Arabidopsis thaliana: one gene and its partner. The protein of the gene in region 2 interacts with the protein of the main gene of each other region in a biochemical or structural test. Each region holds a gene or a part of one and is shown on either strand. Other genes may lie near its edges. The genes, in order: BZIP28 and WDR5a.

Region 1 (4,946 bases), about 15 Mb from region 2:
AACATTGGGGGTTCGGAGTTAAAAAAAAAGCAAGAAAAAAGAGAGATAGTGAGCGTAAGTGAAAACAGCCATGGAAGAGGTAAAGGGGAAAAGAACCATCAGTAACACTTGGAAACTTGTTACAAGGTCCCAAACTGACCCCTTTGAAGGAATGCCTCTGCATCTGAAAGAGAAGATTCTCATGAAATTGAAGGCCAAAATCATATCGACGTTCATCCTCCTTTCCAAGTCCTGGTCATCGATAGTCCTTAACAAAGATTTCACCAACATGTATTTGATAATAAAGTTCTTTGAATCTTTGAATCGACCACGTCTTCTTTTGGCAGTCGACGATCGAGAAATAAATATGCAGTTCTTCCACTCTTGCTCTCGAGAGGATCCATCTTCTGATCATCAAACGGTTGGCTGTTACCCTGATTCGTATCCGCGTATCTGGTATGACTTTTCTCCACCTGTTCGTGGCTTGATCTGCTGTCTAAACAATTCTACTAAAGTGGTAATTGGAAATCCTACTACTTGTCAATTTGAAACTTTACCGAGAGTCAGAACCAAAATATACCAAGAAATATTTCCCTTCTTTGGATACGATCATGTTAAGGATGAATACAAAGTCTTGTGCATGACGATATCGGATGAGTACTATAGTAGATCAGGAAATATTGTGTCCAAGGAGCATAAAGTTTTCACTCTAGGATGTAAACAGAAGAAATGGAGAATGATCGAATGTACGATTAATCATTATCTTACTCCTGGAACTCAAGGAATATTTAGCAATGGGGTTATCTATTACTTCGCTAGGGTCAATGATGATCAGTCGCTAATGTGCTTTGTTGTGGGGTCTGAAAAGTTTAGTGTCGTTGAGTTACCGAGGCCGGCCGTCGAAGTTCTAGCGAACTACGGCGAAAAGATAGCTGTAACGAATTTGTTATATGCTAGTAATGATAGACTTTTTGTATGGATTCTAGAAGATGCCAGCAAACAAGAATGGTCAAACTTTTGTGTCTTGGTTCCTTCTTGGGTAGATATATAGATTTCGACCATTCAGCTTCACGGGTATACTTGGAACCGGCGAGCTTATATTTACACCGGGCTTAAAGCGTGGCCCCTTCTATTTACTGTGTTACGATCTCAAGGAACACACAGCTAGAAAAATCTGCTTCAAAAGAATTGGTTATTATACTTCTTTGAAAGTCTTTTTGGATCATGTAGAGAATCCTATGGTTCTGCCAAAGATAAGGCAATCGGTTGGTGATGAGTTCTTTGGTGTTGCATGAACTAATCTCTCTTCTTTCTTTTCTTATTTTTCAAGTTTCAATTAAGTGGTCGGATATTATTTGTTTAAGACTAGTTCTTATTGGATTTGATGGTCACCCATTGGTTAGTCTTTTGATCAATGGATATTTATGTCTGTGGAATATTGTAATGCAATGTTTTTTTTCTCAACATCTTTGGAATGCAATGTTTATGACTTAACAAGAAAAATGTTTATGACTTGATTATAATAATCTCTGGTTTTGTGCGGAGCTTATACAGCTTCGGTTTTCTTCTTATTTGATTTCTTTTGGGGAGAACAAAGAGTTTTGTGTTTGGCTAGATGGATCTTTATCATCATTTTGGTCGCCTTTTGAATTTTATTTCATAAAGAAATCTTATGTATAAGAAAATAAAACTAATATCGATTCTGAAATAGCAAAAATACCTCAATATTTTCACTAAATCATAAAACGAACTACATTCATCATACAACACATTGTAACATTTCACCATTAATTTCTTAACCCAAGCAACAAGCCAATAAGTAGATAGTTTTTGTTTGACTAAACATACACACGTGTTCGGAGTTTGATGTACACGCGCTGACTGCGCGTGGATGTAATATAATCTTAATTCTTAAGTATATTCGTCGACGTTGCCTTGTTCCAAAGTTATAAACCGTGTGGAACCATCGAGAAGCGAAGCCAGAATAAATTTTCGAATCCTCCGACGATGACGGAATCAACATCCGTGGTTGCTCCTCCGCCGGAGATACCTAATCTGAACCCTAGCATGTTTTCTGAGTCCGATTTGTTTTCTATTCCGCCGCTAGATCCTCTTTTCCTATCTGATTCTGATCCGATTTCAATGGATGCGCCAATCTCCGATCTCGACTTCTTACTCGACGATGAGAACGGAGATTTCGCTGATTTTGATTTCTCGTTTGATAATTCTGATGATTTCTTCGATTTCGATTTATCGGAGCCCGCGGTGGTGATCCCTGAGGAGATCGGTAACAATCGTTCGAATTTGGACTCATCGGAAAACAGAAGCGGCGATGGAGGTTTAGAAGGAAGATCTGAGTCTGTTCATTCACAGGTTTCATCTCAAGGCTCCAAGACTTTTGTGTCCGACACCGTTGACGCATCATCCTCCCCTGAATCAAGCAATCACCAGAAATCTTCTGTTAGCAAGAGGAAGAAGGAAAATGGAGACTCCAGTGGCGAATTAAGGAGCTGCAAGTACCAAAAGTCCGATGATAAATCAGTCGCTACGAACAACGAAGGTGATGATGACGACGACAAGAGGAAGTTGATAAGGCAGATTAGGAACCGTGAAAGTGCTCAGCTTTCGAGGTTGAGGAAGAAGCAACAAACTGAGGAGCTTGAAAGAAAAGTGAAGAGTATGAATGCTACCATTGCTGAATTGAATGGTAAGATTGCTTATGTTATGGCTGAGAATGTCGCTTTAAGGCAACAAATGGCTGTTGCTTCTGGTGCTCCTCCTATGAATCCTTATATGGCTGCCCCGCCTTTACCGTATCAATGGATGCCGTATCCGCCGTATCCTGTTAGGGGATATGGATCACAGACACCTTTGGTTCCCATTCCTAAGTTAAATCCTAAGCCTGTCTCGAGTTGTAGACCGAAGAAGGCAGAGAGTAAGAAGAATGAGGGTAAAAGTAAGCTCAAGAAGGTTGCTAGTATTAGTTTTATTGGAATTCTCTTCTTTGTCTTCTTGTTTGGTACATTGGTTCCTTTTATGAATGTAAATTTTGGAGGAGAACGTGGAAGCTTTGGCGGTTTGTCTAAATATGATGGCCACCGGTATTACGATGAACATAAGGGGAGGGTTTTAATGGTCGGCGATGGTTCTGATGTTAGAAGAAATAGTGGAATTTCTGAAGGAAATATCCATTCTAGTAGGATTAGTCATGGTGAGAGAGATAGTTGTGGAGGAGTAGATTATAATGCTCATCCGAAAGTAGAAGGACGACCAAGTTCGTTGAGCAATGCCAGTGATCCTCTCTTTGCTTCTCTCTATGTCCCAAGAAACGATGGGCTTGTGAAGATCGATGGGAACTTGATAATTCACTCTGTTTTGGCGAGCGAGAAAGCAAGGGGTTTAGGAAAGAAGAATATCACTGAAACAGTAAAAACTAAAGAACCGGATTTGACCATTCCTGGTGCACTGTCTTCTGCATTAGCTGTTCCGGGGGTAAGAGGAAATGCAGCAATGCTTCCGCATTCAACAGCTCTCTCTTCTGAAGGGAAAAGACTTCACCAATGGTTTCATGAAGGTGGCTCAGGTAATTCTTGTTCTCTATGTAGTTTCTACTAAATGGAGTGATCTGGATTTTCAACTCTACATTGCATTCTCTTGCAGGGCCACTAATGGATTACAGCATGTGCACCGAGGTTTTCCAGTTTGATATTGCTCCTGGTGCTATAGTCCCGTCATCAGTCTCCAGCATTTCTGCGGAGCATCTCCAAAATGTCACTACCCACGGCAAGAGAATGAAGAACAGGAGAATCCTTGAGGGACTTCCTGTTTCACTTGTGGCGTCAGAGCTCAATATCACCGGAACCCAGCCAAACAAAGACGCTCAAAATAAGACCTTTAATGGAAACACTAACAAACCCACATCATCATCCTCCATGGTTGTCTCAGTGTTACTTGATCCAAGAGAGGTCGTTGACTCTGAAACCGACAGAGTGGTTCCCCCAAACCCAAAATCACTTTCCCGGATCTTTGTGGTGGTGCTTCTTGACAGTGTCAAGTACGTTACCTACTCATGCGTTCTTCCTCGATCGGGTCTCCATCTCGTAGCCACCTGATTTGAGCTACTCAGATCTTGACCTTAAGTAGGCGAACATTGACTTGTTTATACATACAGACCTTGTTGACTTTTTTTCCCTGTGTTGTATAACTCTTATGTTCTAAGGTTTTGGATTTTAATTTTGAGATAAGCATAAAGTGGAATCCTTGTTTTAAAGGCATTTCCAATAGCTTTAGGCTGTATAATACATCCGATGGTTGCAGAACTTTTCTAATTTAGAAGATATAATATACAAAAGAAGCTCTTAGAGCATATATATTCAATTGGGACTTAAGTAGAAGGCTGCACCCTTTTGTGCAGCATCATTCTATAACAACTCTTCCGGTTCTGTATCTAGTTTCCATATGAATTCATTTTATACATTTAAAAGTTTTGAGTACTCTGTCGATACAGTTTACTAGACATGTTAATGTCGTTATTCATGAAGCCAGGCCACTATCAGCATGAGAAGGACAATCCATGGCATAGCTGGTAAAACCTCAATCGCTGCTGCCAAACACAGAAAGAAGAAGGCATTTGATTAGAATTGGGAGTCTATGATTTGATATATCTTTGCTAAATTGGAAGACTTTAAGTAGCAACTTACATGAAGAGGACTGCGGTTGAGGATGAGCAACTTCGTTTGCATGTGGTTCCCGTGGTTCCGTTATGGGTGGTTGAGCTGCATGGGCAAACACCACATGTGGTAGAGGGGCAGAGATTGGAACTATATGAGACTTGGCTGCAGAAATTGGGGCCGGTGAGTGCAGCTGATGATGTGGTGCCCCAGCAGAAGGAGCAGGCGCAGGTGTGGATGAAAACTGCACGCGTTTCTCCTTGAAATGTACTCTATTCCCTGGGTTGCAGGGTGGAG
Region 2 (4,752 bases):
CAGATTTTTAGTCACATGATTAGGGAAATATGTAGCCACTAGAATAAGTCGTACTCGTATTAGGTGAATTTTTGTTTTCTTCTTTATGGACCCGGATCAATAGAATAAGTTTTCATCTGCAACGCACTTTCTTGCACTAAATAATAAACTTATATTAGTGAAAAATTTATAATAATGAAAACATTTCTTGTTTAATGGTTTACTTCGAATGATAAGAATTGGTAAGCACGTGTTAGGAAATGTATACTTTTTTGGGGAAAATGTCGAAGATATACTTTTGGATGGGTGTGTGTGTATTGCAGATTCGTTTGTTGAAGCTTGATTTCGTATTTGGTACCAAATCGAATATATTTAACCTGACTAATAGATTATTATGATAGCACTAAACCTAACAATTATTGTTTGCTACTACAATCATAAAGAATTCAATTTATACTCTTTTTGAGAGTTTTTATGTTTAATCTTATTAGCATATCTCGAGAACTTTTACACAAAAGAACCAAAGCTGAATTTTGGTCTTTGTATCAATTGGGAGAGACACAAACATGACTGAGTCTTTAGGAACTGTTGCTTTCTCTTGAATCATGTAAACAGAAAGACACGCTGTAAAAGCAAACAGCCCACTGGTGTGTAGCTAAAAGACAGAACAAAGGTCACAAAGTCATCTTTTTGTTAAAAAATTTTGGTTTCGAAATTGAAAACAAAAAAAGAGAGAGTGGGTTCAAATTTTCAAGTGGTCCATTTCAAAATCTTGTAGGGTTTAAAAAAAAGAAGACTTTACGATAAAAGTGAAAATGAAAAGTAAAAAATGGGACAGGACCAGGGGACCATAAGCTTCATCATCATGGCCAACCAAAGTAACCAACTACCATACATTATCTACTTATAGTCATATATCTGTACTTTGACCCATGAGCCACCCATCAATATGGTTCAGATGAACAATTTTCAATCCTGAAACTACTTTATAACCAATAGTATTGGTGAAGCATTGCATCAGCTTAATAGATACAATGAGTAAAGGGTAAACCTATGAAGATTTGTGTTCATTCTCTCAAATGCCTTTGCACTTGCAGGAGTCTTTGCCTTAAGACCTACCTAAATAGTTCTGAGTCACACAGAGAACTATTACAAGTTTAGAACAGTCTGTTGCACTTCCCTTACACCAAACAAAAATTAGACTTTTACATAATGAGGCTAGAATCAATCTAACAAGCTTAGTAAGCAACAGATGATTACTGCATGAAGAAGGTGGCATGTACCTACATGTTTGATTTCTGAAGAGAGAGAGTGATGATTTATTCTTTCTTCTGTGTCCAAATCCTTACTGTCTTGTCGAGCGAGCCTGATGCGATCAAGTTCTCTGTCGGGTGGCATGCTACGTTCATGACGGTCTCAGTATGACCCTCAAGTTTCTGTAGCAGTTTCTTGGAGTTTAGCTCCCACATGTGTACACAGTTGTCCTCGGATCCACTGACTATTCGCTTTCCATTTGTGACGGAGAACGCAGAGGAAATGCAATACTGTGCGTTCACGTGGCCAGTGTATGTTTTGAGGAACTTAGCAGACGAAATGTTCCACAACCTCTGCAAATTTATAACGAATCATGAGAATTCCTTTATTCAACAATACCCTATAGACGCAAACACCAAAAGAAGATGTATCTTACAACCCTCTAAATACGACCCTTCAAAAGTGTTGAATCTCGATCAATAACAGAACTGTTCCAAAGCTATCAACTTTTCCTTAACTAGATAACAATTTTTGCAAAAATAGCTTTGGATTGGCTTCTCCTACATCAAACTTCTATTAACACACAACCTAGAATCTAAGTTCATGGAGAGATGAGTGCATTAATAACGAATCATAAGAATTTAATTTCCTAATGCAAATTAATCAAACTCCAAACGACGATGTATCTTCGAAGCTACAACCCTCTAGATACGACCCTTCGAAACTCTTGAATATCAACCAACAACAGAACTATACTTAAAGCTAACAACTTCTCTGTAAACTTAGTTTTGAATTGGCTTCTCCTACATCAAACTTCTACTAACACACTCTACCCAAAATCTTCATGCTTTTTTTCGAGATCACTATAGAGCAAAACTAGTAATCACACTAAAAACATCAAATCTTTGAAAGGAATTCAACAAGTGAACTCACCAGCGTGTTATCAAGTGTACCAACGAGGATAAACTTGCCATTAGGAGAGAATCTAACAAACGAAACAGGAGGATTCTCATCATCAATCAGAGTTTTCACACAATGACCAGTCCCAGAATCCCATATACGACACAACCCATCATAGCTACTCGAAACAATGAGAGACCCATCTCTATTAAAATCAACAGCAGTAACAGGATCAGAATGCGCGGGAAGAACTTTCAAACACTTTCCAGTAGTGACATCCCAGATCCGAACAGTTTCATCAAACGAACCAGATACAATCATATTTGATTGAGGATTGAAATTGACACAGAAGGCGTAATTAGTGTGTCCAATAAGCGTCTTGATCAATGAACCAGTTTCAACGTCCCATAGCTTTAAGGTTTTGTCATCGGAAGCTGAGACTATAAACCTCGCGTCTGAAGAGAATGCAACATCGGAGATACCGTTTTCATGGCCGGTGAATTCTTGTACGGGCTCGGCGATTGGATCGTTAATGGTGTTGATTGTGTAAGTGCGGATTGTTTTGTCGGCGGAGGCGGATGCGAGGAGACGTCCATCGGAGGAGAATTTCACGGAGGAGACGGCGCGATTGTGAGATGTTAGAGTTTGTGAATGGACGTATGGAGTGAATGATGCTGTTGCTGGAATTTCCTCTGCCATGGAAATTGGTTAGCGGAATTTGAATTTGGCTGATTTTAGGGTTTTGGGAAAGGAGGCTTTGTCTAACTAAAGGAGAGAGACGACGATCCAGTGTTCTTGGAAAAACCCCGACTCTTTTAAATAAATTGTGGGGTGTGTTTTGAATGAAATAATACTATTGGGGTGTATTTAGAGTTTTCGTAAATTATATAGTTTCACGAGCGACTCACGTGCTCGCTTTCCAAGCTCAAACCTTCAGAATGATACAGAGTCTTTTGGAATGTCTTAAAATTTTAGTTCTTTCTTGCTTCGCAAATTAAATCAACAACACTCTTCATATATTGACTACCACAGTTTTAACCTAAGACTCTTTAGTTATCATGTAAGTTTGGTATGCCGTAACAATCATGGACTAGATTTTAACCCTCGGTATACCAGGGGATGATTTATTTTTTAAAAGTAATATATATTAAAATTTGCAAATTTTATTTTTATAAAATATTTATATTTTACAGTTTATAATTGTTATTAAGTAACACTATACCACGAATCCATGAGACAATTGTTAAAAAACTGAAGTTTTAACCCCTATTAAAACAACATATTAATAATATTTTAAAATTTTATAAATATTAATTCAAATACATCCACCATATAACCCAATTCCAAAATAAAACCCGTTATGTAATTTCTTTACCCGTTCCGTGATTTTTTTTTAAAGTAGTAATTTTTAAAATTTAAGAATTATTTATTCTATATAAAAGTTTTGCAAATTGTATCATTCTCTAATACATTTATATTTTATAGTTTAAGTTTATATATAGTAACATTATACATACCACATAACATTTTTGGTTTTATATAATTTTTTCTAAATTAGGATGATTTGATATGTTTAATATTAGTGGTCTTAAAAAATAATAAATTAAAGATTTAACCCGTATTGAAATGGTGGATTAATTATATTTTACTTTTTTTATTAATGTTGATTCAAAAACCCGTCCCTCCAAATCCGTCTTGCCAAAAAGCCATTTATTTTATTAATAGTAATTTTATTTATGATATGACTCTGAATTATAATCTAAACATTTTAGCTAATAACATAGGAGTATACCATATTTATTTAATAGGTGAATGTACCATATGACCCGAATGCACTTTTACCCAAATCCACCAAAAAAGTCTTGCAAAAATACTATAGACCTGAATGTACCATATTTTTTTTTGTGCTAATTTTTATGTGATTAAGATTTACTTTATTTCGTATATAAAATATTAAATTGTTTTACGAACTTAATTGTTTATAATTTGGTAATAGATAGATATTTGAATATTCAGTATATTTTGCTTTAGTTAGAAAATCTTTGATGACCCGTCTTTAAATCCAATAAGCCTATAATTAAGAGATGAATATTGTCGTTAAATGATTTTGGTAATCTTAATGTGTTATTAAAAGATTTTGTTTTTGATTAAATTTTTCTAATGGCATTGTCATGTAATTAATTACAAAAATTAAGGTTACATTTAAAATGTACTTCCCAAATAATATAGTAGGATACATCATACATATTTAATGAGTTTCAATCTTGTACTTGTGACGTTAAATTGATATTTTGGGAGTGTTATTGGTTTGTGATTTAATTTGAGTTTTATTAACTTAAAATATTATGTAAAATTTGTTGTTATCAAATTAATATTTTTAAAAGTTTGTTAAAGTTTGGTACTATTAGTTTAAAATTTGTAAAAAAAAATTTAAAATCTTCATAAATTTGGAGTTATTGGATTCATACTTTTATAAAGTCATTAAAAGTTTTGTGTTATTCAATTAAAACAAAAGAATCAATGATTGTTTAATAAATTAAATTATTGTGTTATTAGTATATAACTTTCTATATTTTTCTTCTTAAAATAAAGTCATGAAAGTATCATCAAAATAATGAT

Evidence for each region.
Region 1: the proteins of WDR5a (region 2) and BZIP28 form a complex in vitro, tested with the Arabidopsis thaliana proteins (one study listed by BioGRID).

Annotation. Positions count from the first base shown.
Region 1 is NC_003074.8:3,377,340-3,382,285, forward strand, and holds BZIP28 (Basic-leucine zipper (bZIP) transcription factor family protein), read left to right. Parts: upstream 1-1,828; 5' UTR 1,829-1,986; coding exon 1,987-3,562; intron 3,563-3,639; coding exon 3,640-4,091; 3' UTR 4,092-4,282; downstream 4,283-4,946. Other genes in the region: AT3G10790 (F-box associated ubiquitination effector family protein), read left to right, coding at 71-1,030; AT3G10810 (zinc finger (C3HC4-type RING finger) family protein), read right to left, coding at 4,509-4,582, 4,680-4,946.
Region 2 is NC_003074.8:18,411,770-18,416,521, reverse strand, and holds WDR5a (Transducin/WD40 repeat-like superfamily protein), read right to left. Parts: upstream 2,959-4,752; 5' UTR 2,833-2,958; coding exon 2,167-2,832; intron 1,587-2,166; coding exon 1,299-1,586; 3' UTR 809-1,298; downstream 1-808. UniProt on the Arabidopsis thaliana protein: Forms multiple COMPASS-like complexes involved in histone methylation by interacting with different histone H3 'Lys-4' methyltransferases such as ATX1, SDG14 or SDG16.